7 linked regions of the Rattus norvegicus genome follow. The protein of the gene in region 7 interacts with the protein of the main gene of each other region in a pairwise test. Links are inferred from orthologs where the notes say so. Each region holds a gene or a part of one and is shown on either strand. Other genes may lie near its edges. The genes, in order: Otud4, Exosc10, Txndc17, Slain1, Morn4, Dusp23 and Exosc8.

Region 1 (3,500 bases), on a different chromosome or scaffold from region 7:
TGTCACATCACAGTTTTAACAGAGGACAAACACTGTATATGACTTTGTCAAGGGTAGATCAGGTTAGTGTAGTGATTAGGAGGGAAGATGTGTACTATGTTCTTGGATTATCTTCACATTCATATTGGTGGGTTTTGAAGTATACTTGGAATGATGAGTGTTTTTTTTTTTTTTCTCAGTCTAGACTCCAAGTTCTTGCTCTCTTTAGTGTATATTTGGAGGTTAGTTTGAAACATAGAGGTGGATTTCTTAAAGAGGAATTGTAGGATAAATCCTCTAGGAGCTAAGTAGAACTTCATTCATCTTGAGTCTCATCAGCCTTTTGGCCACCATATGGTCTTCTTGTTCTAACTTTGCTTGGAATACTGGATCTGAGGTACTGTCTTGTTACCTTTCTCTTATTCAGAGGCACCTCAGCGAGGCCTTCCCACCGCTTTATGCTGCTGTGCCTGCTCCCTCTTCTTTTCATAGGACTTTGTTCTTACTGAGTTGGTTACCCAGCTAGTTTGCCTTTACCTCACTAGATTCTACGGCAGTTTTGTCTCACTGCTTAGACCCGAGCAGCCTACTAATACGCAGTGTGCAGCACATAGCAGGCACCGTATTTGTAGCATCGATGATTGAAAAGTGGGTGGTGATGGCTTTTGACTGATTGTACTGAAGATTAGGAAGTGTTTTTTACAAAAAGGTTGGTTATGACTTGACATTTTTACAATTGGGGTATTTGGCTTTTTTATTGTAAATGTTATAATTTGATTGTACCAGTTTTTTTTAAAAGCTTTGTAATACTTATTAAATTTTAGGTTGAGTCTTTTGTAAATTGTTACTTCATCCATTCAAATACTGCAACCTGCCACCACCATTTCTGTTTTTTGTTTACTAAGTCAGTAAGAATTACTAGTATTAAGTCTGATATGTATATGTAACATTGTAAAACTTGAGTTTATTGCAGCCTCATGTTTTTGGCATGTAATTGTAGTTAAGTTTAAAACATGCAAATTTTCATTTTCTAATTATGGTTCTGTTCCTTTATAGGAGTAAAAGCACTGCTGCTACTGATGTGAATGGATTTAAGTCCTCAGGCAGTGAGGTATTTTTAATTTAATACTTTTAACTTTTATATGTAAAGAAACTATGATTTTTTTTTTTTTTTTTTTTTTTTTGGGATCGTCATTTCTAATAGTAAGGGTTGCTTTGCTGGTATGAAGTTGATTTGCCACTTCCTGCTTTATTTTTAAGTTTTTTTTTGTTTTGCTTTTATGCATATTTGAAACTGTTTTAAAAGCATTTTTGTGTTAATTGGACTTCTGACATTGTTTATTTAGAACCCTAAGAACCATGGGAACTCAGCTGACCTTCCTTTGTCCAGAAAGGTTCTTAAGTCCCTCAGCCCAGCAGTCTATAGAAATGTGGAGTATGAAATTTGGTTGAAGTCTAAGCAAGGTGAGTTAAACTAAGTCTTCTGTAAAATTGCCTTGTAGCACTTTAATAATGAAATTCACAATATGTTTTAATGAACTGTTTTTAAACTAACAGCTCAACAAAAACGTGATTATTCCATTGCTGCTGGCTTACAATATGAAGGAGGAGAGAGATGCCATGTAAGTGATATCTACCAAATGAGAGTGTGACTTGAATTGACTCTTACTTTCTGATACTCTCCAAAGGAATAGCTAACTAAAGTTTGACTGTAGTTATAACTTGGATTTCAGAATTCATTTATCCTAAATACATTATAAATATATTTTACTCTAAATACATACAAGTAAAATGTAGAATAATCTTAATGTTGAAATTCATACATTTGTAAAGCCACAGTTTTGATGTTACTTGTTTTTGAGACAGTGTCTCACTTTTTAGTCCTGGCTGGCTGGAATTATATAGACCAGACTGGCCGGGAAGTTAGACAGATCCGCCTGCCTCTGCCTCCTGAATTCTGGGCCTTTGTCCCTTTTATTTGAATATAGTTTACTTGAAATCTTAAGCAACTGGAATGATACACAGATGACTTGTTTACTCAAGTATGTAGGATATACTTTATAGTTTTTGGTAGGAATAGCTGTATAAAAAAAGGCCAGTGAGGCTGGATATGGTGGTGTATACCTTTAATCTCAGCACTTGGGGAGATAGGCAAGTGGGTTTTTGTGAGTTCATGGCCAGTCTGGTCTACATAGTTCCAGGACTATACAGTGAGACACTGTCTCAAAAACAGCAAAACAGAAAATGGCTGGCAAGATACTCAGCAGAATCCTTTTGCTCTTTCAGGGAATCTTGAGTTGGTTCCTAGCACTCATGTCAGGAAGCTTACAACTGTGTTCCAGCTCCCAGGGATTTGGTGCCCTCTTCTGGCATCTGCTACTCCACAGGTGGCAGAAGAAACATTTAAGACATTACCCTTTAAAAATCTTTTTTGAAAGTGGTTAATGAGGAATGAAATTTCTGCTCAGGACTCTGCTAACGCTTGGAAAAAGGGAGTCTGTGTAGAGCAGAGCTGTGTTTACTGTGCTATCTTACCTGTTGGCAGCCATTGGCCAGTGCACAGGGTTATTGTGTGCGGTTTGCCTAGAAGAAACTTCAAGACATCCATGTCCACACTATTCAGTTAGCTATTATTATTAATGGGGTTGGTAAGAAACAGCAGAAGCATCCCTTTTTAAGGAGCAAAAGTTACATTACACCTTTTTAGTATAAAAACAAAGATGATAGTAATAATAGTTCACTCATCTGTAAAGTGGCTGCTCTGTGGACTGCTGTCCCCTGTATGATGTATATCTCCATTGCATCTCCAGTAACTTCCTCTTACATTATTTTCTGTGTTAGCTCCAATTTGTGTGTGAGCAAACAAGGTAAGTGAATTGTCCAAGGTTGTTGCTAGCAGTAGACAAGCCAGGCTTGGAGGCCAGGAGGGGTTGACAGCCGCTGGTGTATGTGTTCCTTACAGTTCGGTGGGTTCTGCTCCTGCTTCTTGACATATTTATAACAGTAAATTTGACAAAAGAAACAGTCTTTTAGGTAGAGAGGTATGGTGCCTTAGGGATACAGATTCTATTGAAGCTCTTGTACTCATTTTTTGTTTTTTTTTCTGATAAATGTTTACATTAACCAGGTGTCTGATGTCTCTCTCTGGTGTTCAGCAGGTTAGATTGGATCATAATGGGAAGTTATCTAATGCAGACATTCATGGGGTTCACTCTGAGAATGGACCGGTTTTGTCTGAAGAACTGGGGAAAAAGTATGTATTCTTTTAGTTAAGGTGTTTGTTACCTCTTAGATTTAACCTCTTACAAATGTGAATACTTCTAAATGCCTATGTATTAAGAAATTCAATAAAAGACATCCTGTATATAAAAGTTTAATTGGTTAGACGTTAGAAAAATCATGAGGGGTTGTGGAATTGCCTTGCAAAGGAACTGATAGATCCATCCATCTATTTTGCTTTTGTTTTTGTTTTTTTTTGAGAACAGGTTTCTTTGTGTAGCTCTGACTGTCCTGGTATTCTA
Region 2 (4,077 bases), on a different chromosome or scaffold from region 7:
ACTGGTCTCCACGGACACCGGCATTCATGGCACGTGCCTATACATACAATTCCATCCATCTATCTATCTATCTATCTATCTATCTATCTATCTATCTATCCACCAACCCATCCATCTATTGGAGAGGTCTTGCTGTGTAGAACAGGCTGGCCTGGAACTCAGAGACCCGCCTGCTTTTGCTTCCCTAGTGCGAGGCACAGGTACGGCCATTAGGACTGGCTACATTTATTTCACTTTCCATAGAGCTGGGGTTTCTCCTTCCACTGATATCTGAGCCTTCTATCTGAGAGCTTACTTCTGTGGATGGGAGGCACTCACCACTCTCTCCAATATCACGTCGTTGGTGTCGACGAGTAAATCGAACTTGTCCTCCAACTCAGTGACTTTGCTTCGGTCTTTGATGTTGCTGCGACACCCATGGTACTGCATCACCCGACTCATGCTAAGGAATCGAGGAAAACCAAGGTCAGCACGTGCACCTTTGTTCTACCAACCTACAGTCTGAGAAAACTCCTCAAATGGCTTGGATCACAGGGTTCCCGGCACCCTGGATAAAATTAACCCAATGTACATCTTCACAACAACCTTTAAACACAGGACCCCAAGCCAGGCCTGATGGTGTAGGCTTGTGACACCGGCTTCCTAGAAGGCTCAGGCCACAGTGAGTTTGAAGACACCTGTGTAATTTGGTGAGTTAGGCCTATTCTCAGCAAAATAACTTCACGGTGATCTCCCCCAACAATTATCAGATGAGAAATGTGTAGCCTTGGCTGCTCTACTCACTATACAGACCACACCAGCCTTAACTCAGAGATCTACCTGCCTCTGTCTCCCTAAGGCTGGGATTAAAGGTATGAGCCACCACACGCAGCAAAAGACTTTTGACATAAACAGATATTGTGTGTGTGTGAGTTCCCCCGCCCATGTGTTAAGGCCAGAGGATAGTCTGCAGGAGTGAGCTCTTTCTCCATCCGAGAGTCTCAGGGGTTGAACTCAGGCTGTCAGGCTTGGCATTAGATGCCTTTTACCCACGGAATCATCTTGTCGGCCCTCTTATTTTTCTTTTTTTTCTTTTCTTTTTTTCGGAGCTGGGAACCGAACCCAGGGCCTTGTGCTTGCTAGGCAAGCGCTCTGCCACTGAGCTAAATCCCCAACCCCCTATTTTTAAAGATCATAGATCATGCTGGCTGTGATGGCTGACATTTTCATTTTAGCACTCAGGGGAAGTGAGTTCAGAGGAAGGTTGATCTCTAAGATTTCAAGGCTAGCTTGGTCTACATAGCAAGTTCCAGGCTAGTCCGGGCTCCACACTGAGCCGCTATTCTTCCCCAACAGCCACAGACCACACAATTATCCTATGTCCCTCTGGTTAATGGCATTTAGGCAGCGTTTCTTTGGTGATGGCTAGTACTGGAGTTCAGACTCAGGAACCCAATCACGTTCATTATCTCCCGACAACTGAGGTATGCCACTCTCAGGACAATCTTTTATTTCTTTCAATCAACGTAATAAACTCACCACTGAAGCAACCTGTCTCCTTGTGTCTCACAAAATGCCTGGAAGGCAGGAAAACTTCGGTAAAAGTCATACTCGTCACCGACCTGTGGCAGGCCCCCAGATGCCTTGGTAACGGCCACTACCGACCCAAGTGCAAACTGAAAATCAGAGAAAAAGATGCATCTTACACACGGATTCCTGTTTACTCAGGAATAAAAAACCCACAAGATTTTAAAGCTATATATCCCAGGGAGCTGGAGAGACCGATCAGCGTTAAGAGTGCTTAGCACTTCTTGTACAGGACCTGGGTTAGGCTGGGCTCAAACATACAGAGATCCACCTGCCTCTGCCTCCCAAGGGCTGGATTTGTGTACCACCACCCGACTCAGGTGACCATTTTATAACCAGTGGTTTAGGTAGACTGTTGTGAGGCAGGTAATGAATGGGAAACAATCACAAGTGGCTGTCATTGATAAAGAGTGGGTGCTTATTTTAAGGCAGTGGCTCTCAACCCTTGGGTCCCATTTCAGATACCCTGCCTGTTTACATTACAATTCATAACGGTAGCAAAATTAGTTACGAATTAGCAAAGAAAAAATATATTTTAACCAAGAGGATCGCGATTTATTTTAAAGTTAATGTCTACATAGACTGCCACAGCAAGGCCATCAATGAAAATAATCTCATGGTTGGGGATCCCAGCGTAAGGGAGGTGTTAACGTCTCATGACAGCATCGTGAATTTTGTGAACAAAGAATTTAAATAAAAACTCTATCTTCCTTCTCAAGAGGTACTGGTGAGTGCGCTTTGGCATTTAGAGAGGGGCTCGATGGTCGCTGTGACATTCAACCCAAGAGATTGGGGCAATAGACGTTTGTGCATCAGCGGGGTGAGCAATGGGCGGGAGAGTCGCTCAGCTGTTGGGCTCCTCAGGAGAGGTAGCGCAGGGTGCGCCACGTGGATGACGGACGCCCTTCCGAAGGCGCGGACACAGCTTTCTACGCGAAGCCGCTCGCGCTCACACCGGAAGCGCGGAGCCCTTCGCTGCCGTTCTCCGTGCGCGCCGTCAGGCCGCCGTGACAGGCGCCAGAAGCCCGCAGCCCCAGACCCGCTTCCGGCTAAAACAGCGGTGCCCCAGAGCCCGCGAACTGACCTTTACGAAGCTGTCTGCATCCGGGAAGCCAGGCAGTACCATCTCCGCGTCAGGCTTGGTCGCACCGGTCGCTGGCGCGGACTGATGCTCCCGGGGACTGGGAGGCGCCATTTTTCCGTCCTAGGGCGGCTCTTCTCGCGAGATTGTTCCGGCGGACCGGAGAAGAGCGTAACGCGCATGCGCGCGGCTCAATACCACTACCCCGCCCCACACCAAGTAAGTAGTGTAACTTGTTACACGACTTGGCCAACGATGGGGAGATTTAGGCTTTTCTTTAATTTTACGTTGTATCCTAACAAACCTGTGGGCTAGGGTGAGGACTGGAGGGAGGATACAATTGAAATTACATTTAAAGCTAGATCTTCACCCCGGACCCGCCTGCATCCAGCCTCCCAAGTGCTGGGGTTAAAGGCGTGCAAAACCGTTTACTCAAGGATTGGATTTTTCCCAGTTTGTTTAAAATATTGGGAAAGGGAGAGAAGAGAGGCTTTGAAGCAGTTAAGAACACTTGCTGGGCTGGAGAGATGGCTCAGTGGTTAAGAGCACCCGACTACTCTTCCAGAGGTCCTGAGTTCAATTCCTAGCAACCACATGGTGGCTCACAACCATCTGTAAAGAGATCCGATGCTCTCTTCTGGTGTATCTGAAGACAGCTACAGTATACTTATATATAATAAATGAATAAAAAAAAAAAAAAAAGAACACTTGCTGTTTTTTGAGGATCCCAGCACATATACAGCAGAGACCTGCTGGGTCTGGGTTCAAAAGAAGATACAGCTAACCTTCAAGAGACTGGAGGCCCCAGGGAGTTTAGAGGTTGGGTGGGGTGGGGACAGCCTCGTGGTCGGGGGATTGGGTGGAAGTAGGTTTGGGATATGGAACAGTCGGAGGGTGGACTGGGAGGGAAATAAAATCTGGAGTGTAAAAAAAACCCACCACCACCACCAACAACAACAAAAAGGACAGGGTTTTTCTGTGTAGTCCAGAATCTCAAGAGATCCTTGTTTGCCTGTTTCTGTCTTGGCCTGTCTAGTGATGGAATGTAATGGTGTAGGTTCCTGTCCCCATTAGTCAGTGGCTTACCACTGAGTTTAAGCCAAAGCCCAATAAGAGAATTTGCAAAATAATGAACAGAAAGCCATACACATAAATACTTTTAAAATTCTGATGTCATTTATTGGCACAAAAATTACTCAGATACAATGGTGTCTAGATGTGGCTTCACTTATACTTTGTGTTTAGTTGGATATTTACTTTGCTCTTAATTCACAACCTGCGCTAGTGTCCCTCTGAGATCAGCACTTCCACAAAAGCATTTGTGTTCTGAGTCCCTGCTGCAAACACAACATATCCATCCCTCACTGAACACAGCAGCAGGGCCAGCGTGGACCCTGCACTGAGATCCTGGCACACCTGCTCATCCTCGG
Region 3 (4,154 bases), on a different chromosome or scaffold from region 7:
CTATTCCCCTAGCTGTGGGCAGTCCTGAGGTCCGGGGGAATGTCCTAGTATGTCCTCTCACCCATGGTCCTGTAACACCATCTCGGCTGGTCTCTACCCAGGAAGCTCGCCCAGGAATACCCTTCTCGACTGGCCCCTCTCCCGCAGGAACAGGATGAAGTTCCACTCTGCTTCCTTCCCAGCATCCTGAAGCTACCCTCATAGCCTGCACCTTCAACCACAGTTCCAGGATGCTCTCATGGCCAAGTGTTCCTGGACGACCTTTTCTCTCACAGCTCGGTGAGCTCCTATTGTCTAGCTCCTCCTTCCCAGATACAGTCACCCACACAGACCCAGCAGGCCCAACCACCTCGGGCTCGCCCACAGTCCCATTCACCCACACTGTCCTAGGGTCCACTGCTGCCTCAATCGAGCCTGCAGTCCCAGATGTCCCAACGGCCTTTTTCACCCCCGGGGATACTGCAGGCTCCACAGTCCTCTGTAAAGGCCGCCGACCATTCTGCACCCTCCCTATGTTTGCACAGAGCATCCGCCGCACTGAAGACCTCACCCGGCGCCTTACTCCATAGCCTCGGGACATCCCTGCACCCCACCTCCTCGCCCACGGAGGCGGAACACCCCGCCGCAACCTGCCGGCCCTCACGCAACGAGCCGGCATCTTCGCTGCCAGAGTACACCCACGTAGCCCGGTCAAGAGCCCCGTACAGGACTCGCAGCTCCTGGACAATTCCTTTCCCCAATGCAACCTGTCTTTGCACCTGTTCCCCTAGACAGCGTGCCCCTCACATGCACTCACAACACTCGGATTCTGTCCTCTCTGCCTTTCTGCCTCCCAGCTCTCTCCAAACCCCCGCCCAATCCCGGACGCCGCCCCCAGCCTCGGCCCCCCTAAAGTCTGACAAATGGAAAGGTAACAGAAGGGGCGGAGCTGCAAGGCAAGCCCAGGCGAGGTCTCTCTCACTGTCTCTCTGCCAAATGCAGCTTCCCAGAATTCCCCCAGCTCTGACCCGAGCCCACCTGGTTTGGGCGAGGCGCGGCCACCGAGACCGTAAGGCCACCTCAAGCTAGGCCTCGCTTCCGGCCTCTCGCCCAGTCGCCATGGCAACAGGCGCGCGGCTGTTTGGGAGCAGTTGAGCTTCCTGAGCCATTTGAGGATCAAGGTGTTGTACCGCGACCGGTTTTGCGGTCATTGTCCATAAAGCCAGGGTAGGGACTAGACCAGGTCAGGCGTCTAGATGTCTGAAGGAAACTGGCGCCAAAAAGAAACTCCAGCAGACCAAAAAGACGGCCCTAGAGAGTTATGGCCATCTGAGGCTCCCGTAGCACAGCACCGCCCACCCGGAAACTTGACCACGCCTTACTTGGGCCCCGCCTTGAGGCGGCAGGACCCTAAGGCACCTCCTGCATTCCTCTCTGGACTGTTGTACTCATGGCCACCTTCGAGGAGGTGAGCGTGCTGGGCTTCGAAGAGTTCGACAAGGCAGTGAAGGAGCATCAGGGCAAGACCATTTTCGCCTTCTTCAGTGGTTCTAAGGATACTGAAGGGAAGAGCTGGTGTCCGGACTGCGTGGAAGGTGAGACTGGGACTAGAGGTTGCTTCACCACAGAAGTGGTGGGAAGAGGTCCCCTTACTGAAGTCAGAAAGTGGGATGAGATGAGGATTTTGGTTCTGCAGATCCACGGAAGCGTCTGAGCTGTACCCTGTCTCTAGTTAGGTCCTTACTAGCTCCACCCAAGGATGACCCTCATTTTTATCATGGACTCAGATCTTGGAACCTGGTTCTTTAAATTCTCAGTTCCCCAAACGATTAGTGTCTCATAAGAAAGACCAGACTCACGAGCTAATCTTCCCGTTAGCAATATGTATGCTGATTGTCTGCGTGTGTCTTAAAGACAATCAGGACTAGGACTTAAGTGATTCATGAGCCCAAAGGACACCGACTTTAACAACCTATCTTACAACGGGTTAAAGTCTAAGACTGGAGAGAGGGGAGGGCTTGGGCTATCGCAGTTATCGCAGTTGTTGTATAATTACTTTTTAACTTTTTTAAAAAGCTGAGCCAATCATTCGAGAGGGGCTGAAGCATGTCACTGAAGACTGTGTGTTCATCTACTGCCAAGTAGGAGACAAACCTTAGTAAGTGACCAATCATCTATACCGTAGCTCCAGACAAGAACTAGATTATTAAAAAGTTGGCTAGAAAGGACCTCAGATAATTGGTCAGGCTCTGTGTTTTAGGTATTGTCTAATAAGCCAAACAATTGGAATTATTGAATTCATATTTACCGTTTATGTTCAGCCACATATCATCATCAATGAATTTGGTCTAGAATAAGTTCAGAACTCAATTGACTTTACATATATGTTTTATCTTAGCCACACTTTAAATTTTGCAGAAAGTGACACATAAGTTACAGTTCTCAAAATGCTAAAATGTTAACAAAAGTAATGGTTGCTAATATATATAGGCCAACTGTTGAGTAAACTGTAATAAACCAAGTAGTATTTTTCATTATCTTTTTCCTTTTGGAACAGCTGGAAAGACCCAAATAATGACTTCAGACAAAAACTGAAAATCACTGCAGTGCCTACACTACTTAAATATGGAACAGTAAGTATCTACTTTTTTTTTTTTTAAAGATTTATTTATTTATTATATATAAGTACACACTGTAGCTGTCTTCAGATACACCAGAAGAGGGCATCGGATCTCTTTACAGATGGTTGTGAGCCACCATGTGGTTGCTGGGAATTGAACTCATAACCTCTGGAAGAGCAGTCGGGTGCTCTTAACCGCTGAGCCATCTCTCCAGCCCAAGTATCTACTTTTATGCTGTAGCTATAATGCAGTTAAAACTCAAGTTGCTTTAAAGTCAAGTTTGAGTTCCAACAATTTGTTGTTACATTGTTGTTTAGAGTGCATCAAAAACACACAAGTTGGTGTCCATCCTCTGCTAATCCGGTGAACTATTAATAATGCAGATATTAGAATCTGAGGTGTTTTAAAGTGTGGAGGGAAAGAGATGGCACTGGGCATGCTATCTCTTGTTTCCAGCCTATGGGGCTTCCTGGTGTGGAAATTTAAGGCCTTTCGGGCCAAGTGTTTTAATGATTCATCTTGAGACAAGTATCCTAACTATTTAATAAAACTTGTTATAACTAGCTGATAGTTTCTGATGGCATAATTTCTGTGTTCAAAATTTGTCATTCAAAGTAGAATTCATTCCACCCCTAGTAATATTCATAGCAGCAGTGAAAACTTAACCATTCTTTTTACAGCCTCAAAAACTTGTGGAGTCTGAGTGCCGCCAATCCAACCTCGTAGAGATGATCTTCTCTGAAGATTAAGATTTGATGACCTTGCCAGACTGTGGTGGCGCATGCCTTTAGTCCCAGCAGAGGCAGAGGTAGAGACAGAGCAGCTGGATCTCTTTGAGTTTGAGGCCAGCCTGGTCTACAAATTGAGTTCCTGGACAGCAGGGGCAGCACAGCAAAACCCTGTCTGGAAAAAAACCAAAAAGCCTAATGATTGCAATTTTATATTGTCTGTCTGGTTCCTTTAAAAGAAGCCACATAATTTCTTTGATGAGTAAATGAGTAAATCAGTGTATGTCTAAACAATAAAGAATTAAAATATAAACCTCTAACTAGTTTTTAACACATGGCTATCTAAAAGATTTGAGTAAAATGGGTCTTCAGTATGGTAGTAGTAGCTCAAAGGAAATATTGAAGATAAAATTAACTTATTAACTTCCAAATCTGTAGCAATTGGTATTTATTACCTTAAATTCTGTGTATTTGCAAAACCCTTTCCTGTCTTTGAAATGGAGACCTTCATTAAACCATTTAGGAGGAGAGTCATAGAATTCATATGCTTAATTCAGGCAATTTTGTTTCCCAAATGTCTAAAATGTGATTCTCTTGGTGTGAAACAGGCTAGTCACAGGCAAAGCACTATCTAAATGTCAATTTCTTCTAACAAAAATTGTGTCAGGCATAGACACACACCTGTAATCTTATTACTTTAGATAATAAGGCAAGAGGATCACAAGTTTGAGGCAAGGGGTACACTACTGAACCAGGCCTTGTCACAAATGAAAAGCCCAACTATTGCTCTACAAGAATGTGGACTGAAGAGGTGGTTCAGTGCTTA
Region 4 (3,500 bases), on a different chromosome or scaffold from region 7:
GTATTAAAATGCAGAACACGTAATGGAAAGGTGTTTAGAACACGTAGGTAAAATGAACAAAGGTACTTTAAAAACCCCATATGGCAAAGCATTATTGATACGCCTCAATCTCTCTCAAAAAGTATTCAGGTACAGAGCAGTTCTACAAAAACTTCCTAGATCTAAGGTAACAATACCGTGGCCATGGGTTTGGGGTTGCCACAGTATTTCAGGCAGAGAGTAAGTGCGATCGTTAGTCTCTGGTGATTGGTCCACTGAAAACGATGCCGTGCGCACGTGTTAGGGTGAAGGGGAGAGCATCCCAGCATCCACGGTTACCCAGCCAGCTAGGTAACACACCCTCATTTTCGATTCTTCCCATTCTACAAGGGTCCATAAAACTGCATCAGTAGCAACCGTCTCTCCAATTTCCATCCCTCAGTGTGCTGAGTGAAGATAGAGGCTTGGGGGGCTGCAGGAAACTGTTAAGGAGACGAAGAAGGCAAACGGGCTGTTAGTAATCCCGCCCCTGACATCACTCACTCTGGTCCCCTCCCTCTCCCATCAGGGCTGGTTCATCCCCTAATGACAAGCTGTTGTCACTGTCACAAGTGTGTATCAAGTTACATCCTTCGGGGTTCTCATAGTGTCTGCCCATCTGCCGGAGCGGAGGCCAGAGCACAGAGCCACATACGCATGCGCACAAGGTAATTTTCGCCCGGCCAAAAACAAATTTAAGATAGAAAGTAAAAGGTAAGATCCTCAATGGGGAAAATAGCTAAAAACATAAACCGACTTTATTGAACACATGCATAAATTCTTGGCATTTATTTAAATAAATGTTTCTACCATACTAACAAAGAACTGAAAAGTAATCTTGAAATATTTTCAGTATTTCAAAAATTAATTTCGAAAAAAACCCGAAAAACTTTTCTCAAGTTTGAAGAAAAAAGATCCTCTCATATTCTCTAGGGATACAAATCCAACCCTCCTCCTTCAAGAAATAGAGGGCCCCAATAATGGACACATATATGTCATGTAATTCTGTTCAGCCATGAGATGTCACATCTCTGCATTTAGCAAGGAAAATAAGCCAGGATTACCGCCACTACCTTTGTCTAAAATGTACCCTATACAGAACTTGGCATTTTTAGGCCAAGAAAAAAGCTTGCTTGGGCCATCTGGAACTTACAATACAAACTGGTTCCTGCTGAGTAAAACTAAGATGTTTTCAAACCTTGAGCGGAGGTGTGCAGACCTGAAGGAGGGAGGAAATTTGCTACACAAGTAACCTGGGGCAGGGTGGAGCGCGAGCTCCACAGATGGGCCAAGGAATCAGAGTGAAGGGAGAGAGAGCGGAATCTGACTGCGCAGAGACATCCACCATCTGACCGAGAAAGAGGGGCCCGGAGAGTGTCGTAAGGACAATGACCTGTGGTTAACCTGAGCCAGAGAAGAGTGAGGGTGAGCTGGAGAAATTTCCAAGCAGCGATACAGTCACAGGGATGAAGTTCTCACCTCCTGACAGGCTGTGCAATCTTGCTTCGAGGCAGGTTACTCCCATTTATTGCCAAGGAAGGTCGCGGAAGGGCGCTGCGGCCCATAATCCCGGAAGCCGCAGCTTTGTTTGGGGTAGGGATGCCGGTGTTGGAATATAACTGTGTGCCATTGGACAAAGGCATGCTGCTGCTGCTGCCCTGAACAGTCGGACTGACGTAGGCTGTGGCCTTCAGGGGCTGCCGGATGGGCACTGGGAAATGCCCCACGCTGTGGACTCTGTGCTGAATCTGTCCTGGTGACGGGACTGCCGGGGAAAAATAAAGTCAGTGTGAGGGACTTGCACTGCCTTCAATTAGAAGTGTTACATTCAGAGGCGCCTATGTTTCTGAAAGCAAGAGGTAAGTGATGTACGGGTGCTAAGCACCCTTCAGTGGGAGAGAATCCCCAACAGGGCTCTCCTATTCTGTCTGTCTGCAGTCCTATGCCTGAATACAGTTGATCTATGAACAGCATGAAGGTCAAAAATCAGATTATAATTCACGACTTCCCCAAACTTCAGTCAGTACCCTCCTTGACTCAAAGCCTTATCAATTAACGTTGTCATATTATACTTAAAATAATCAGGGTTTATGCGGTATCTTTGTGTTTATATTTCTCTGGCATATGAGTGGGGACATGGATGGTCTCTAAGTGCAAGCGTAAATTATAACAGATTTGTATATACGTATGGTATTAAATAATAAAAATAGCATACCAAGTATCTTTATTTTATGTATTAATTACATATTCTTTTCTCAACTTCCTTGAGATTTCTAAGTTGCAAGATTTACCTACAAGTTTTTTCAAAATAAAACTTTTCAAATCTCAAGAGAAACCAGTAGAGATATAAGCAGACCTGCTCAGATCATATCTGTGTTGCTCAAAGGCCACTGAATATTCAGAAGACGACTCTAAAATTTAAGAATCTCTGAATTGTTCTGAGGCAAATTATGTCCAAGACAAATTTGTTTTACCTTAAAAGATATTAGAATTTCTTTTAAGATCTATTTTCATTTACTTATTTTACTTACATATGTGTACATGTGTATGTGCATGCAGTGTGTGTGTGTGTGTGTGTGTGTGTGTGTGTGTGTGTGTGTGTGTGTGCATCAGATGGTTGCAAGCCACCTGATGTGGATGCTGGGAACTCAACTGGAGTCCTCTACCAGAGCAGCAAGTACTCTCAAATACTGAGTCATCTCTCCAGCCCCCACGGAATCTCTTGATGGTTTTTCTAACAATGGCCTAATGAAAACAAACCATGGGGATGATCTGACGGTTATAATTACAGACAGGAAGTCAGGAACAGTCTCTGTAGGCACAAACATATTCCTTAGGTAGCATGCACTGTGATATTGTCTCGGGGTTTATTTGAGAAGCTAATTAATCTACTTAAAGCCTTAGCGCTTAAACCGTCAGCAACCACTCAATTAAAAAGCACCACTCTGACCCTTGTAACAGCGACAAAATCTATAAAACGAAGGGAGTGATCTGAGTAAGAATCCTTAAAATTTTACCAATGCTGAACATTATTTTGTAGTCTGCAGTAGTAAACAGGCAGGAGCGTTTAGTTGGTACCCCTTTCCCTGAAGACAAAAACACTAACTTAACAGCAACTATGGCATGCTTTTGCCTTGGTGCCAAAGTTTTTTAGCTCACTGTTTTTAAATTAAAAGAAATCTGTTAATTAAAAGACAGTGCAGTCTGTGAATCTGGCTTAGCTTCTGGTTTAACTGGTGACTTTCTTTAGTGAACACGTCTGTGTATTCCCCATCTCAAGACCACCATGCTCCAGCCACCAGGGAGAACATCTCCCAAGAGAACAAGTTTCCTCTCTGTCACCACACACTGGCCATCCCTACACTGGAATCACAAGCCATGTCCTTTTTTTGTGTGGAGCTTCATTTTGCCCAATATTTTGTGTATGAGAGCCCTCCGTGCTGTGGTGTAACTGCAGTATTCCAGCATGAATGTCATAACTG
Region 5 (4,276 bases), on a different chromosome or scaffold from region 7:
ATTCCAATTTTGGGGGGCATTGGGGAGAAGGTTTGAGACAGGGTTTCTCCGTGTAGTCTTGGCTGTCCTGGAACTCGCTCTATAGATCAAGCTGGCCTCAAACTCACAGATATCTGCCTGCCTCTGCCTCCCGAGTGCTAGGATCAAAGGCGTGCACTAGCACCGTATGCCACCACCGCCCTGCATCCTCACTTGTCAGTCATCTTAGCTCTGACAGGAGCAGTCGTTAGTGAAGGAGCTGTCAGTCAAATGGTTCCAGTTCCCAGTCAGACACTGACCCACTCACCGGAGAATCTATGGAATAAACAGAAGCCATCTCCATGATGTCAGGTCTAGAGTCCTGACTTAGGATCTGGGAGTATCGTGGGGTGGTTTTAAGCTGCTAAGGGCTGGGTTAATTCATTGTTTAGTGGTAATAAGCAGAGTACCACCTGCCAACCTACCCCGACACCATTCCGTGCTGGTTTTCAAGAGTATATATTACAAATTTCCATTCCTTTTCAATCTAGAAAGATACAGTAAATTCAGCAGTGGTTTCTTAAAACCATGAACAGTTTCAAGACTCAAATCAGAAGTGCTAATTAAAAGGAACATATGTAGAACTCAGGGGTCTCGGGCTATGGCTGAATACATTTGTCTAGGAACTGCAACATGTGTCCAAACAGGTGATACTGTCACATCCTGGGAATTTCACCAGTAACCAAGATTATCCATAGTTACTGAGGCAAATATAGATTAATAAAGTGTATCCAGTACTAATGCAAATGGGAAACCCAATACTTTAATAAGGAACACAGATCGACGTCTATAATACTTGCTTAAATAATCCTGTTGGAGAAAATTGATGCCCTAGGCTTCAGATCTATACCTGGAATCCAGTCACAAACCAACACGATCCACATTCCCACAGAGGCCCTTTCTGTGCTTGTGACAGACAAGCTGCAAATGATCAGATGGAAACGTAACCTAAAATTACCATTTTTTTTTTGTCCCTGTAATCCACTGTTCTGGGACTGTTGGAAAGAGACTATATCTTTTGCTCTCTTACTTTTTTTCTTCAGTGGATGGCTCCAAACAGAACTCGAAGACAGTGATAAGAAATTGTTTTCATTTTTTAGAAGTGCTTTGAGTTTATGTGTCTCTGTGTGAACTTGCATGAATGTTTGTATGCTATGTGTGTACAAGAGCCTGTGGAGGCCTGAGAGGCCTTTAGATTCCCTGGAACTGGAGTTACAGGTGGGTGCTAAGAACTGAATCCTGGCCCTCTGCAGGAGCAGTAAACACTATTGCCATGCCTCCCCCACCTTTTCTCCTTCTCCCTGTCTCTCTCTCTCTCATAAAACCAAGCTAACTAAAGAACATTTATGCATTTGCAGCAACTTTTGTCTAAATCAAGACGTTTTTGTTTGTTATTTGAAGGAGGATTATGTAGTCCTTGGTTGTCCTGGAACTCACTATGTAGACCAGGCTGGCCTTGAACTCAAGAAGATCCACCTGCCTCTGTCTCCTGAGGCTCCACCATGTATGTCCAGCTTAAATTAAGAAGTTTTAAAACAAAATAACAACAATTCTTCCCTCCCCAACCTGAGAATAATCATATCCCAGTTAGAGACCTTTTGTTTGGAAGCAGACACCCTAACTATCCACACCATCTCCGAACTGTTCCCAAAGCCACTTCCTTGGGTAGGCAAGCTAACAAAAAATTCTTTTAGTTACAAAGGAAGCAACCATAAGTTTTTAGAGTCCTAAGAGGGGAAAATGAAAGCTCTGATGAGCAAAGATTAGGAAACTGGAAATACTGTTTAATAAAACGTGTTTTTAAATGAATATGAAATAATTAGGGTTTTAACTTTAAAATTATAATCTCCTTCCTATCTGGAAAGTAAGCATTGGCACTGTTATGATAAGCAGGTTTTATTTTTAGGGAGAATGTGGGATGGTTAGATTGAAGAAGATGAAAAGAGAACACTGGTACCAAGAAGAAGGTTTTTAAAAAGACAATGACACAAGAGTGATAGGCTCGGGGTTGGGGATTTAGCTCAGCGGTAGAGCACTTGCCTAGCGAGCGCAAGGCCCTGGGTTCGGTCCCCAGCTCCGAAAAAAAGAAAAAAAAAAAAAAAAAAAGAGTGATAGGCTCTCCGGAGTAATATTGTCACAACACTATTCTATCTATGCTAAGGGAAGGGACAGTGTCTGGGCCGGGCTCTAATATAGTGAAGTTACTCTGGTTGGGTCCTAAGTAGTTCGTGGATGCTGAATTACAGAAATGACAACCCATTCCCCAAGCCTCAGTAAGTGGGACATCTCCCTACCTGTGGCACAGACGCGCCCTAGATTAAACAAAACCCCAGACTTCGACACGCAACCCAGTCTTCCACTGCATTTTTCATTTCAGCCCGGTTCTGTCCTTTTTTTTGGGGGGGGGGGTGTCGGCTCCCACTCCACAGGCTCTTCAAGCTCCCACAGATCTGGCATTCCCTGCAGACACAGCCCGGCACACCCCTCTTGATAACCAGTGTCCTGTGTTCTCCAGGGCTACGACCTCTGGATCGAAACTCCAAACCCAATTTTGGGATCCCACTGGTAGCCACCTTCTTGTCAGTACAGCCAGGACAGAGGCTCCTTCCCCAGCCCAGTCACCTGCTTGCCGCCTCAGTCCTTACCTGGTGGACCGCACTCCCAAGTCCTCTTCCCACCCGCGCCGCAGGCCAACCTGAGCTCGGCTTCTCGAAGACGACTGTTACGCCCCGACTTGACGCGGGGCTCCAGCAGCTAGGATCTTTGCTGCTCCGGGCTCCCCACTGCCACTTTCCCCTCTGCCCCGCCACCCGCCTCAGCCCCACTGGACGCCGCCATCCCTTACGGCCGCACTGGGCACAATTCCCGCTGTTCATTGGCTGTTACCTAGGCAACCGCGAGCAACGCCACTCCCCATTGGTCCAGCCCTCTTTCGTGCCATCTTTGTGAGGGGCCCAGTGTTTTGGGAGTCTGGGCCAAAGATCTGAAAAAGGGGTGGGGCTGAGCCTGCTGTCCAATCTCATTAACCCCAACCGAAAAGAAGGACTCAGGTTTCACGTCTTCAGACACCTCCAGGCAGAGACTTTAATCCTAGATAAGGTCGAACGTGTGTTCAAAGTGGCTACATTTCAAAAGGTTGTGATTTTTAGATTCATAAACAACTCCACCGCTAAGTATGAAGAGAAAACCTAAACCCAGATTTAGAAGCTCAGCTTTATAATTAATGATGCGCTGCACATTTCCATTCATAGGGACTCTCTGTGTTCCACATCTTTTGTATTTAAAACCTAGTGCCACTATTGGAGCAAATCTTCCCAAATACTGTTCCCGGATGTCCGTGTAGCCATATGTTTGTTTAGTGAAGTGCATGCGGGAGAAGCAAGTTCTTCAGGGCTTGGAAAAGCCCTGGTCGTTGATGCGTCTCTCATGGGACTCATGACACGAGTGAGGCGTTGAAAGACAAAGCAAACTGGTTCAAATTGCTTTTTGGATTAGGATTCCTTCAGCCGCAGGTTAGAAAGTAATAATGATGAAAGTGATAGAGGGCTTTACAGGACTTGTGTGAGAACACAACGCCAAAGGGACGGTAGTTTTGCTTTGTTTTTTAAAGATTTGATTTCTGTGCTCAAATCCTATCTTTTGCTACTTACGAATTGTGTGTGTTTTGAGTAACTTAGTAAGCTCTCTAGCCTGTAAAATGAGATCGGACAATACATTCAATGTGGTACTAATTACTCACTTGGTAATGTAAGCTAAACTGTGGAATTGATTGTAGATTAAAGTGCAGTCACTGAGAAATGGATTGGAAAGAAAGGGATCTTCTTAGAACTCGTGCTAGGAAATAATAAGGAAAAAATGAGATTAAATCACAGATTGTGCGGGACCAAATTATGGGAAGACTTATAAATTAGCACAAGAGTTTGCAAACTGTAGTTTCTTTGATGGCTTGAAACTGTAGTTTCAGCAAGATGGCTTGTTAGGTCAGAGCAAATTACCTTGTCTCGTCGGGACACAGCATCCAACATCATAGGAGTTTTAATGGCAGTTAATGGAGCTAATCCATGTAAGATACTTAAAACAATGCCCAGTGCAGACTTAGCACTGGGTAAGTGCTCTCCCAGCACATGTGTATTAGGACACACGCTTACCTAAGGGGGAAATATAGTTCCAAGGGGTAAACACAGAAATAAAGTTTGAGGGGAAAACTCAGAATCCCAGGGAGAACTCAGAATCTTGGATCTTTCCTTGCCCATATTTT
Region 6 (3,829 bases), on a different chromosome or scaffold from region 7:
TGAGTTGGACAATATTGAGTTAGGGGCAGCAGGGAAGACTGAATGAAGTGCAGGGGGAGGGGCTGGTATAGGCCTGGCTCTGGGCTTTGATATGAGATGGAGGTTGTAGGGAACTTGACTGTCCTGTGTCTGGAATAGTAGAGAGAGCCTTTAGTGTGTGTCACATGTGAAGGGACTGTCATTCCCCTTCTTCTCCAGGAGGCAGGGCCTCTGAGAACAGGAGTCTTGGCTTACGCTGCTGAGTTGGCTCCATGTCTAACAGCACCTGGTTCACACAGGCACACAGCATATACCTCAGGGTGAATTCTCCCGTATTCGGTTCAGCCTGCTATGGCAGAGGATAGGGCACGAGTTCAGACTGCCAGCATGGAAAAAATAATCCACTAGGCTCAAGTACGGCATTTATCTCATCTCTCAGAAAGTCCAAAGTGTGGTGTTCATGGCAGGACGGAGTCCAGCAGGGGAGAAGTGAGGATAACATCTAGGAAACAAGACCAAGATTCATAGTCCCAGAGTTATTTATTTGATTACTTAATATCCACCCTGTAACTGCCAAGATGCAGTCCCAGCATTCCTTGGTCTGAGGCTGGGGATGACATAGGGATCTGAGGTAACAGGTGAGCTGAACACATCTGAGGCTGGTAAGAGGTGACCAGCCTGGAGAGAAGGGGGGAAGGAGAGGGGAAGGGGGAGAAGGAGGGAGGAGGGGAGGAAAAGGAGAGAAAGAGGGAAGAAGGAGAGAGGGGGAGGGGGATGGGAAGAGGGGGGAGGGAGGAGGGAGAGACAGACAGACAATATAGAGACTTCATCTGTGAGCAGGATATGCAGGTCTTCTGTACCCTGAGAGGAACAGAGGTGACTCAGGTAGGACAGAGGACCCTACGTAAAGGGTGATATCAACAGGGTACTGCCAGTGTGGGTGTGCAGAGCCCCGAGGCTGCCCTGAGGGATCTCTTTCGCTGACCAGTTCTCCTCTATCACATCCGGTCAGGGAACAGCACCTAGAATCCCATCCTCTTTGAGGAGACAAAAGGTCTCCATCCTTTTGTTTCCTAGAACTGTTGACCGTAGGCCTTTCTGAAGTCTAGCCACCTCATCCAAAGAACAGAAGTGTCCTTCGTCTTGTCCACAGCACAGGCTACAGGAAGCTTATGCGCTGGAGTGCTGTGTAAACGCTATGCAGTGGTAATGAGCTCTTATTAGTTACCACTTCATTTTCATGGGCCATCCTGCCAGCCAGGATTTTATGGCTTTGGGGTTGGGCCTCTTTTGTCCAATAGGAGCCAGAGGGCGCTGAAGGAGGTAGTACTTTTTTAGTCCTTTTCCCTTCCAGCCCGCCACACTTGCTATAAGCAGCAGGAGTCGGGGAGGGGGAAGGGGGCTACCGAACCCCTCATTTTGTTCGCTGGTAGAACTGGAAGACGGCCTTCTCTTGTTCATACGTCTCGATGGATCCTGGTCGCAGGCGCCGAATCTCAGCAATGGCTTCTCCTGCGGCCAAACCCTGCTCCTTCACCAGGTAGCAGGCCAGCATGGTTCCAGTGCGGCCAAAGCCTAGAGCACAGTGCACTCCAACAGCCTGTGAAGTGGAGACCGATAGAGTGGAGTCCAATGCCCTTCCAGACACTCTCCTGTCCCCGCCCCACACATCACAGGCCCTCGCGGGACAAGAAGTGACATTAAAGCTGTGGCGGGCTGTCCTTGCTTCTGGTGACCAGGAGGCCTCTGAAATGGCTGATTCCAAGTTGGGCTCTCAGCCTGTACCTCCTGGCCTCTAACCTGTGCTGTCCTGTACAGTACATCCAGTCACTTGTGGTGCCACTTTTCCTGATGCTGAGATGAGGTGGAAAATACTTACCAGGCTCTGAAGATGCGGCATGAGCAAGACTGGAAAGGCCTCATTAATAATTTGTTTCATATTGATTCTATGTTGAAATAGTATTTTTGACTTACTGGATTAGTACAAAATTAACGTCACCTGCTTCTTTTTCACATTTTTTTTTAAACGTAGCTGCTAGTAAAATTTAAAATTACAAGCGTTTCTGTATGACATATGGACCTCTAGTAAATGGGTTTTGAACCGCTTCCATCTGACTTCAGCGCTCTCCCGACTCCTGGAAGTATTTCGCTTGACAGTACTTAATTTAGTTACTTGGCACCACCTCCTCTCCTAGCAGCATAGTTGACTCTAGTCAGGGGGATGGGTCCCTCTAGCTCCCACCCCACCCTCCCCCACTCCTTTCGGACTCCAGCTCCCGACCCCGCCCACTCATTCCTTCCAGGCCCCGCCCTCTCGCTTGAGCTCACGAACGCTCTGACCTCTCCCCGGGCATTGGCCTCGTCCACGATCTTCACAAATTGGTCGATCTGTTCGGGGGCCGGCGGGCAAAAGTCGGGGATGCGCAGTCGGTGCAGCGTGAGGCCGGGACAGCTGTCACTGTGAGGGGGCCCGCGCTCCGTCAGGGACACCAAGTGTCGCACGCCCAGGTCCAGCAGGAACTGGTAGTGCGCGGGTAGCCGCGGTAACGCCAGCCCGGCCAGCCGTCCCGGGAGCACCCAGGAGAAGTTGGGGGGCTGCACGCCCATCGTGGGGGGAGGGTACCCGGAGCGAGGCTGGCCTTTCCTACGCCCTGCGATCGGGTCACCCGCTGGGGCTGGGTTCCGCCCCTGCTCAGCACTTGTCCTAGCGGTTCACGTAGTCTCTCGGACCCGCCCCCGTGACGTTCCTCCTCACCCAGGGTTGGCTGAACAGCGGGGGCGGGGCTAAGAGGGCTCTTAGGGCTTGCAGAGAAGCCCTACAGCCCAACGGATGCGGAGCAGGGCACTCGTTGATAGGCTGGGTAATCGACAACAAGCGTGATTATTGCAGCCGGGAGCAAATACACTAAGGAAACCTGGAACAAATTAATTGCTCCTGTAGAGAAAACAGCCCAGGGCTGGGCTCTGCTGCGCCCTGGTGGTGCGTTGGAGTTACTGCATGGTGGGCCAGGAGCGTAAGGGCCTGGTCTCCTCTTCACAGTTTTTGCACTAGGGTTTAAATAGTAGTAGACAGATCTACTTCTGCCTGGGCGCGGGTGTGAGTGGGTAATCTCTTCTCTGACCAAGCAGTCACAGTTGGTGTCTTCTTGAGTTCTTGTAATAAGAGGGAACTACTATGTCCTAGACAATAGGAAATTTCATTTTCTTATTGCTGGGACTGTTAAAGGGAGGAGAACATGTGGCACCGGAAATGGTACTCACGGTAAAGTAGTAATTACAATCAACAACATAAGAGTTAACAATATTTGAGCATTTGCTTTGTGTTAGGTGCTCGTGGGAGCACTTTTTATAAATGTTAATTGACATAAGATAGATGATCACAGTAACCCCATTTTAGTCACTGAGGAAGCTAAGCAAGATACCGTTCTCCAGAATCTATCTCTCCCTTTTTAAAAGATTTATTTATCTCATGTATATGAGTACTGCGTAGCTGTCTTCAGACAGCTGTATCATATCCCATTACAGATGGTTGGGAGCCACCATGGAGTTGCTGAGAATTGAACTCAGGACCTCTGGAAGAGCAGCCAGTGCTTTTAACTGCTGATCTGTTTGCTCCACATCCCTCCCCCCTTTTAATAGCACACTTCCCTGCAGTCAACCAGGAAATGATATTCTTTTCACACAGCCATCTTCACACTCTTCCACACATTGTGGAGTTTAAAACCCTGGGCACTTTTTTAACCAGGAGTTTAAAGAAGTTGGTTCCTATGGTCAGGAACATACTCACCTAAGCCTACAACACGTGGTGTGAAGAAGTCCTACCCTCCTTTTGTTGCCGCTGGTCATTAGG
Region 7 (4,169 bases):
AGTCTTCTCAGATTGCCAAGCTCAGAGGAAAATATTACACTTAATGTTTTGCACAGTGCTTAAAAACAACCACAGGCTTCATAGTTTCTTGAGTTTCTTCCCTCAGATACCTCAGTCTGTAGTAGGAAAGTCCTCTGCTCACATCCAACTATTAAAGATTTAAATGTTGCTTCCCACTTTATGGAAAAGATAATCCAAGACCAAAAATATTGTCCAGTACTTTAAATAGAGTGCAGGCAGGATTTTAATCTGCAATGATGCTTCCTTGAATTAGGGCAACCGAGTATGTAAATAAAAACTGTCCACACAGGGTTGGAAGTGAAGTTCATGTGATGTCCCCTCTGCTATCTTCTCATAAGCACAAAGCTTTGTGGGTGAGGGGTGGGGGCGTTCTATTTCTGAGCACTGGGAACTGCTATCTATTTCATCACAAGTTAGCTTTCAACTTACTCGATTATTTGTTAAAATTTTAAGACTATTTAACTCACCGACATATCCTCTATCAGGGGCATCTACTGGTGGTGCTGCAAATTCCTACAAAAGCAAATAATATATTCCAGTGAGAGAAGCCACTCAACACGATGATATTCTGGCCATTCACAGAGGCTGTACCAAAGACCACTTCAGCCAGTTAGATTACGTTGAGCATCTGGCAGGGGCCCTAAGGATGCTGGCACTGCCTTCCCAATGGCTCCCAGGGGGGTTAAAGGACAGTATAATCAAACTCTGCTGCTCATCAACCAGGATCGGTGGGATTATGCCCACTCTTTGTGACTTGTTCAGCAGCTGAAATCTGAATTTAATCCCCAAGTGATACACAACCAGGCCAGGGAGTTAGTAGTGGCCAGAAGTGAGGAATATAGCAATAACTAGCCCAGTGCCTGCAGATCCACACAACAGACTGAGAGACTGGGCGAGTTACTTATCTTTCATATTTCTCTGCTGACACACGGACAGATAAGCAGTACCTGCCTACTCCCAGGGGCGCCCAAGTGAGACAGTGCCAGTAAGTCTCAGATAGAAACCTGGCAAAGAGTATGAGCTCTGATCCTTATCACTTCAGCTTAACCACAAACCTAAACGAGGAGAGTTGCTCAGGGTAACATGAGAAAGCGCAGCTTTTGTCATTAGACTCTGCCTACCTTCTACGTAGGGGCAGAGATTGGTAAATCTGTAGAACACCTAAAAAGGTCAGCAGACACTCACTACTCCTGTGTGACTGACGATTAAAATCTATCAGTGGCTAAATGGGATCACAAAACAATCTCAATTTCAAAAACAACATTGCCAAAATCTTCAGTATGCAGTAGTGAGGATTCAGGTTTGATTATTTGCCTTATAAAGAATTAATGATGCGCACATGTTTAAAAAAACAAACTTGATGGAATATCATTCTAAATATCAGCCCGATTAAGAGCCACTCCTAAGCATGAGGCTAATTTGGAATTCCGACGCTTACAGCCATACAGGAAACCTACTGCTTTAACTCCACAAATGACTGTGGTGTTCCCCAGCTTCACTAGAGCAGAGCCATCCGCTGTACTGATCGAACCTGGAAAGGTAAACACCATATTTATTTAAGAAAAAAAAAAAGAATTAAAGAAAAAAAAGAAGAAAATAAGCACAAAGCCTCCTACAAAGTAGTTTAAATCTTTCAGTTGTCTCGACAAGTTCAGGCCGTATTACTACTTAACGTTCTTAATTTTTCCCTTCTGTCTCCAAATCTGAACTAACGTTTGGATCAACTACAAGGTTGGTGTGATGATAAAAATCTCTTAACACCAAATGTCTTAGACATAGCAGAGCTGGCGGGAAACTATTTGGCACCAAGGATAAATAAAGGTGGGGGCTGTCCCACCCAACTGAAATGAAGCTTATCCTCACCTATGTTGACAGTTGTGGTTCTGAATTCACCAAGTTCTCTTCCATCTGGACGGCAGTTTTCTTTCTAAATGTTTATAAGGAAGCAGATTATTTATGTATTATATAATACATAAATATATTTCTTAGGCTGCAGAAAACACATGCTCTAAAGTACGAAATCACCTCTACTCACCAGAAATCTCCTGTAATACTCCAGCGGTTCCACAGTTCTGAAACATGTTTAAAATGTGTCTGAGTCAGTGCATCCTAAAGCGTAAACCCAGAATTTAAGAGTGTGGTGGTTGAGACACCAATCCCGACAAGTTCGGGCTTTTGAAACTGTGTTAACCATATTTACAAAAGCCATATAGTAGCAACCAGTTTTCAGCGGCGACCTTAACTGTGCCAAAAGGAATGGAGGCCCTTGGCACACTTAGAAGAGGGTTATCCTGGGTGTCAGTCACATCACGTTTGCTCTGAAGCGGGGAACTTAGCGTGACTTCACTCCGTAAGCCGCATTTGCCAGTGTCTACAAATTTACCACGGAAGAGTGTATTTTTACAATTACTGGAGCTCCGTTTGTCCACATCAACTACACGCGGCCAAAAGTTACAGCAGGTATAAGTGCACGCACTCGCAGACACGAGTTTAAGGTTTGCACGAGTGGGCGGGCAGCTTTGGGTCTAATCAGAGCGCCCCCAAAGGTTTCAGTCCCTTCCGAAGGCGGCACTGCGTTGAGAGCGGCGTTGCGCTCGGTTAAGAGGTCAGGGTCGTCCTGGATGTGCTGTCCCTCAGCGCCTCAATGGGCAGAGCCCTCCCGCAGCCCTCAGGATTCCCAGTCCGCCAACACGCGCAACACCCGCACCAGGGCCTCTTTTGCGCGCGCTACCACTCACTTGAACCCGGCCGCCATTTTTCCTGCTCGCACTGCGCCTGCGCAGCCCTCTGCGCCTGCGCCCTCCCCTTGGTAGGCGTGGCTCCAGCCCAGAGCACTGTTTGGAATCCTGGGTTAAACAAGTGCTGCCGGAGGCTGCTGTTCTCCGGCGCACGGGGCATCAACACCAGCTCCTGCCACCCGGAGCGTCCCGCTCGTACCTAGTTAGAATCAGGCCTGTGGGGAAGAGCCGGGGTCGATACTGTTCACAACCGCCTGCAACGCCAACCCCCGGGGTCCCACGCCCGGGTCCCCACGGGCGTGCGCGCTCGTGCACAAACATCCTTACACACACGCAGACGCGCGAAATGGAAAGGGGTGACTCTAAAACACTCCACGGCGCCGGGCATCCTTAGATGGCAGCACTGCGCGGCGTGTGGGTGAGGCCCGTAGCTTCGTCAGTTCGCACAGATCTAGTGCTTTCCTCCCCACACTCGGGGACCGGTCTGCAATCCTCAGCGGAGCCGCGCGGGGGCGCTGCGGGCGGCGGGCGCGGGCCAGTCCGGCCTCTCCTGCGGGTCGGGATGGGGCGGGGCGCTGCGCCGCACGCCGCTTCCGCAAGTGTGGAGCTGCGGGATGGCTTCGCTGCTACTGCAGCTGGTGGGGCTCGGCGTGGCGCTGGCGGCTGCCGCGCTCATTCTGGTGAGACCGTGGTGGAGTCCCGTGCTCCGGGTGTCCCCTCCGCGCTTCCCTCTCGTGCTTGGCCCCCTTGGCCTCAGATTCCCTGAAATCCTTGAACCTTTATTTCCCCCTTTGGAACCTTATCTGGGTGCCCAGAGCCTCTGCCCAGCTTCTCGGGGCTCCTGCCACCGAACCCCCGCCTGTCACATCCCACCACACTCCCCAGCCTTATTCTTGGGCCTCCCGTACGTACTGCAACTGGAAAGAGAGCAGTAGATCTATAAGGCTAGAGACAGAGACTATGGGTGAACAAAAGACAGGCCCAGATCCCTTTCTATTAATTTTGGCCAGTTGTTGGTTTTTGTTTCTGTTGTTTGTTTGTTTGTTTGTTTCTCCAGAATCAGGCACCTTAGCGTTTTCTTTGCCATTCCTATAGAAACGTAGCAGATCCCACCCCGTTGATTTGTAGAAGAGGACTTACTTGCCAACTGAACTCTGCCACATAGTTTGAAAAGGAGCCTGTAACTCAGAAAGCTGATTTTGAAAAACTTTCTTGTATTGGGACTAGATGGCTAGACAGGTGGTCAGGAAGGCCTCTGCCACTTTGCCATATTATGTACACGCACAGTCTTGGAATGGTGTAGCCAGATGACTGTTGCTGTGTGTCTGGGTGAGTCAAACGCCCTCCTTTACTAAAATACCTTCTTTAAAGGCTTGGAACAAATCAGAACTTTGTTGGCAACGTCCAGGT

What was found.
Region 1: the proteins of Exosc8 (region 7) and Otud4 interact in binary tests that used the Homo sapiens proteins (3 or more experiments, as listed by UniProt). The two-hybrid records come from large-scale screens. The link is inferred for Rattus norvegicus from reciprocal best matches to the Homo sapiens genes EXOSC8 and OTUD4.
Region 2: the proteins of Exosc8 (region 7) and Exosc10 interact in binary tests that used the Homo sapiens proteins (3 or more experiments, as listed by UniProt). The link is inferred for Rattus norvegicus from reciprocal best matches to the Homo sapiens genes EXOSC8 and EXOSC10.
Region 3: the proteins of Exosc8 (region 7) and Txndc17 interact in binary tests that used the Homo sapiens proteins (3 or more experiments, as listed by UniProt). The two-hybrid records come from large-scale screens. The link is inferred for Rattus norvegicus from reciprocal best matches to the Homo sapiens genes EXOSC8 and TXNDC17.
Region 4: the proteins of Exosc8 (region 7) and Slain1 interact in binary tests that used the Homo sapiens proteins (3 or more experiments, as listed by UniProt). The link is inferred for Rattus norvegicus from reciprocal best matches to the Homo sapiens genes EXOSC8 and SLAIN1.
Region 5: the proteins of Exosc8 (region 7) and Morn4 interact in binary tests that used the Homo sapiens proteins (3 or more experiments, as listed by UniProt). The two-hybrid records come from large-scale screens. The link is inferred for Rattus norvegicus from reciprocal best matches to the Homo sapiens genes EXOSC8 and MORN4.
Region 6: the proteins of Exosc8 (region 7) and Dusp23 interact in binary tests that used the Homo sapiens proteins (3 or more experiments, as listed by UniProt). The two-hybrid records come from large-scale screens. The link is inferred for Rattus norvegicus from reciprocal best matches to the Homo sapiens genes EXOSC8 and DUSP23.

What each region holds. Positions count from the first base shown.
Region 1 is NC_086037.1:45,160,137-45,163,636, reverse strand, and holds part of Otud4 (OTU domain-containing protein 4), read left to right. Parts: intron 1-1,035; coding exon 1,036-1,090; intron 1,091-1,325; coding exon 1,326-1,443; intron 1,444-1,536; coding exon 1,537-1,601; intron 1,602-3,137; coding exon 3,138-3,232; intron 3,233-3,500.
Region 2 is NC_086023.1:164,277,163-164,281,239, reverse strand, and holds the start of Exosc10 (exosome complex component 10), read right to left. Parts: upstream 2,801-4,077; 5' UTR 2,762-2,800; coding exon 2,651-2,761; intron 1,656-2,650; coding exon 1,519-1,655; intron 443-1,518; coding exon 319-442; intron 1-318. UniProt on the Homo sapiens protein: Catalytic component of the RNA exosome complex which has 3'->5' exoribonuclease activity and participates in a multitude of cellular RNA processing and degradation events.
Region 3 is NC_086028.1:57,329,958-57,334,111, forward strand, and holds the start of Txndc17 (thioredoxin domain-containing protein 17), read left to right. Parts: upstream 1-1,354; 5' UTR 1,355-1,429; coding exon 1,430-1,574; intron 1,575-2,055; coding exon 2,056-2,137; intron 2,138-2,536; coding exon 2,537-2,612; intron 2,613-3,280; coding exon 3,281-3,349; 3' UTR 3,350-4,154. Other genes in the region: uncharacterized protein LOC134480818, read right to left, coding at 1-658. UniProt on the Homo sapiens protein: Disulfide reductase. May participate in various redox reactions through the reversible oxidation of its active center dithiol to a disulfide and catalyze dithiol-disulfide exchange reactions. Modulates TNF-alpha signaling and NF-kappa-B activation.
Region 4 is NC_086033.1:86,952,976-86,956,475, reverse strand, and holds part of Slain1 (SLAIN motif-containing protein 1), read right to left. Parts: intron 1,784-3,500; coding exon 1,498-1,783; intron 462-1,497; coding exon 386-461; 3' UTR 1-385. UniProt on the Homo sapiens protein: Microtubule plus-end tracking protein that might be involved in the regulation of cytoplasmic microtubule dynamics, microtubule organization and microtubule elongation.
Region 5 is NC_086019.1:250,845,144-250,849,419, forward strand, and holds the start of Morn4 (MORN repeat-containing protein 4), read right to left. Parts: upstream 2,801-4,276; 5' UTR 2,664-2,800; intron 1-2,663. UniProt on the Homo sapiens protein: Plays a role in promoting axonal degeneration following neuronal injury by toxic insult or trauma.
Region 6 is NC_086031.1:87,629,745-87,633,573, forward strand, and holds Dusp23 (dual specificity protein phosphatase 23), read right to left. Parts: upstream 2,657-3,829; 5' UTR 2,587-2,656; coding exon 2,320-2,586; intron 1,580-2,319; coding exon 1,394-1,579; 3' UTR 501-1,393; downstream 1-500. UniProt on the Homo sapiens protein: Protein phosphatase that mediates dephosphorylation of proteins phosphorylated on Tyr and Ser/Thr residues. In vitro, it can dephosphorylate p44-ERK1 (MAPK3) but not p54 SAPK-beta (MAPK10) in vitro. Able to enhance activation of JNK and p38 (MAPK14).
Region 7 is NC_086020.1:141,084,298-141,088,466, forward strand, and holds the start of Exosc8 (exosome complex component RRP43), read right to left. Parts: upstream 2,801-4,169; 5' UTR 2,777-2,800; coding exon 2,760-2,776; intron 2,094-2,759; coding exon 2,057-2,093; intron 1,949-2,056; coding exon 1,885-1,948; intron 1,553-1,884; coding exon 1,479-1,552; intron 535-1,478; coding exon 489-534; intron 1-488. Other genes in the region: Alg5 (dolichyl-phosphate beta-glucosyltransferase), read left to right, coding at 3,374-3,439. UniProt on the Homo sapiens protein: Non-catalytic component of the RNA exosome complex which has 3'->5' exoribonuclease activity and participates in a multitude of cellular RNA processing and degradation events.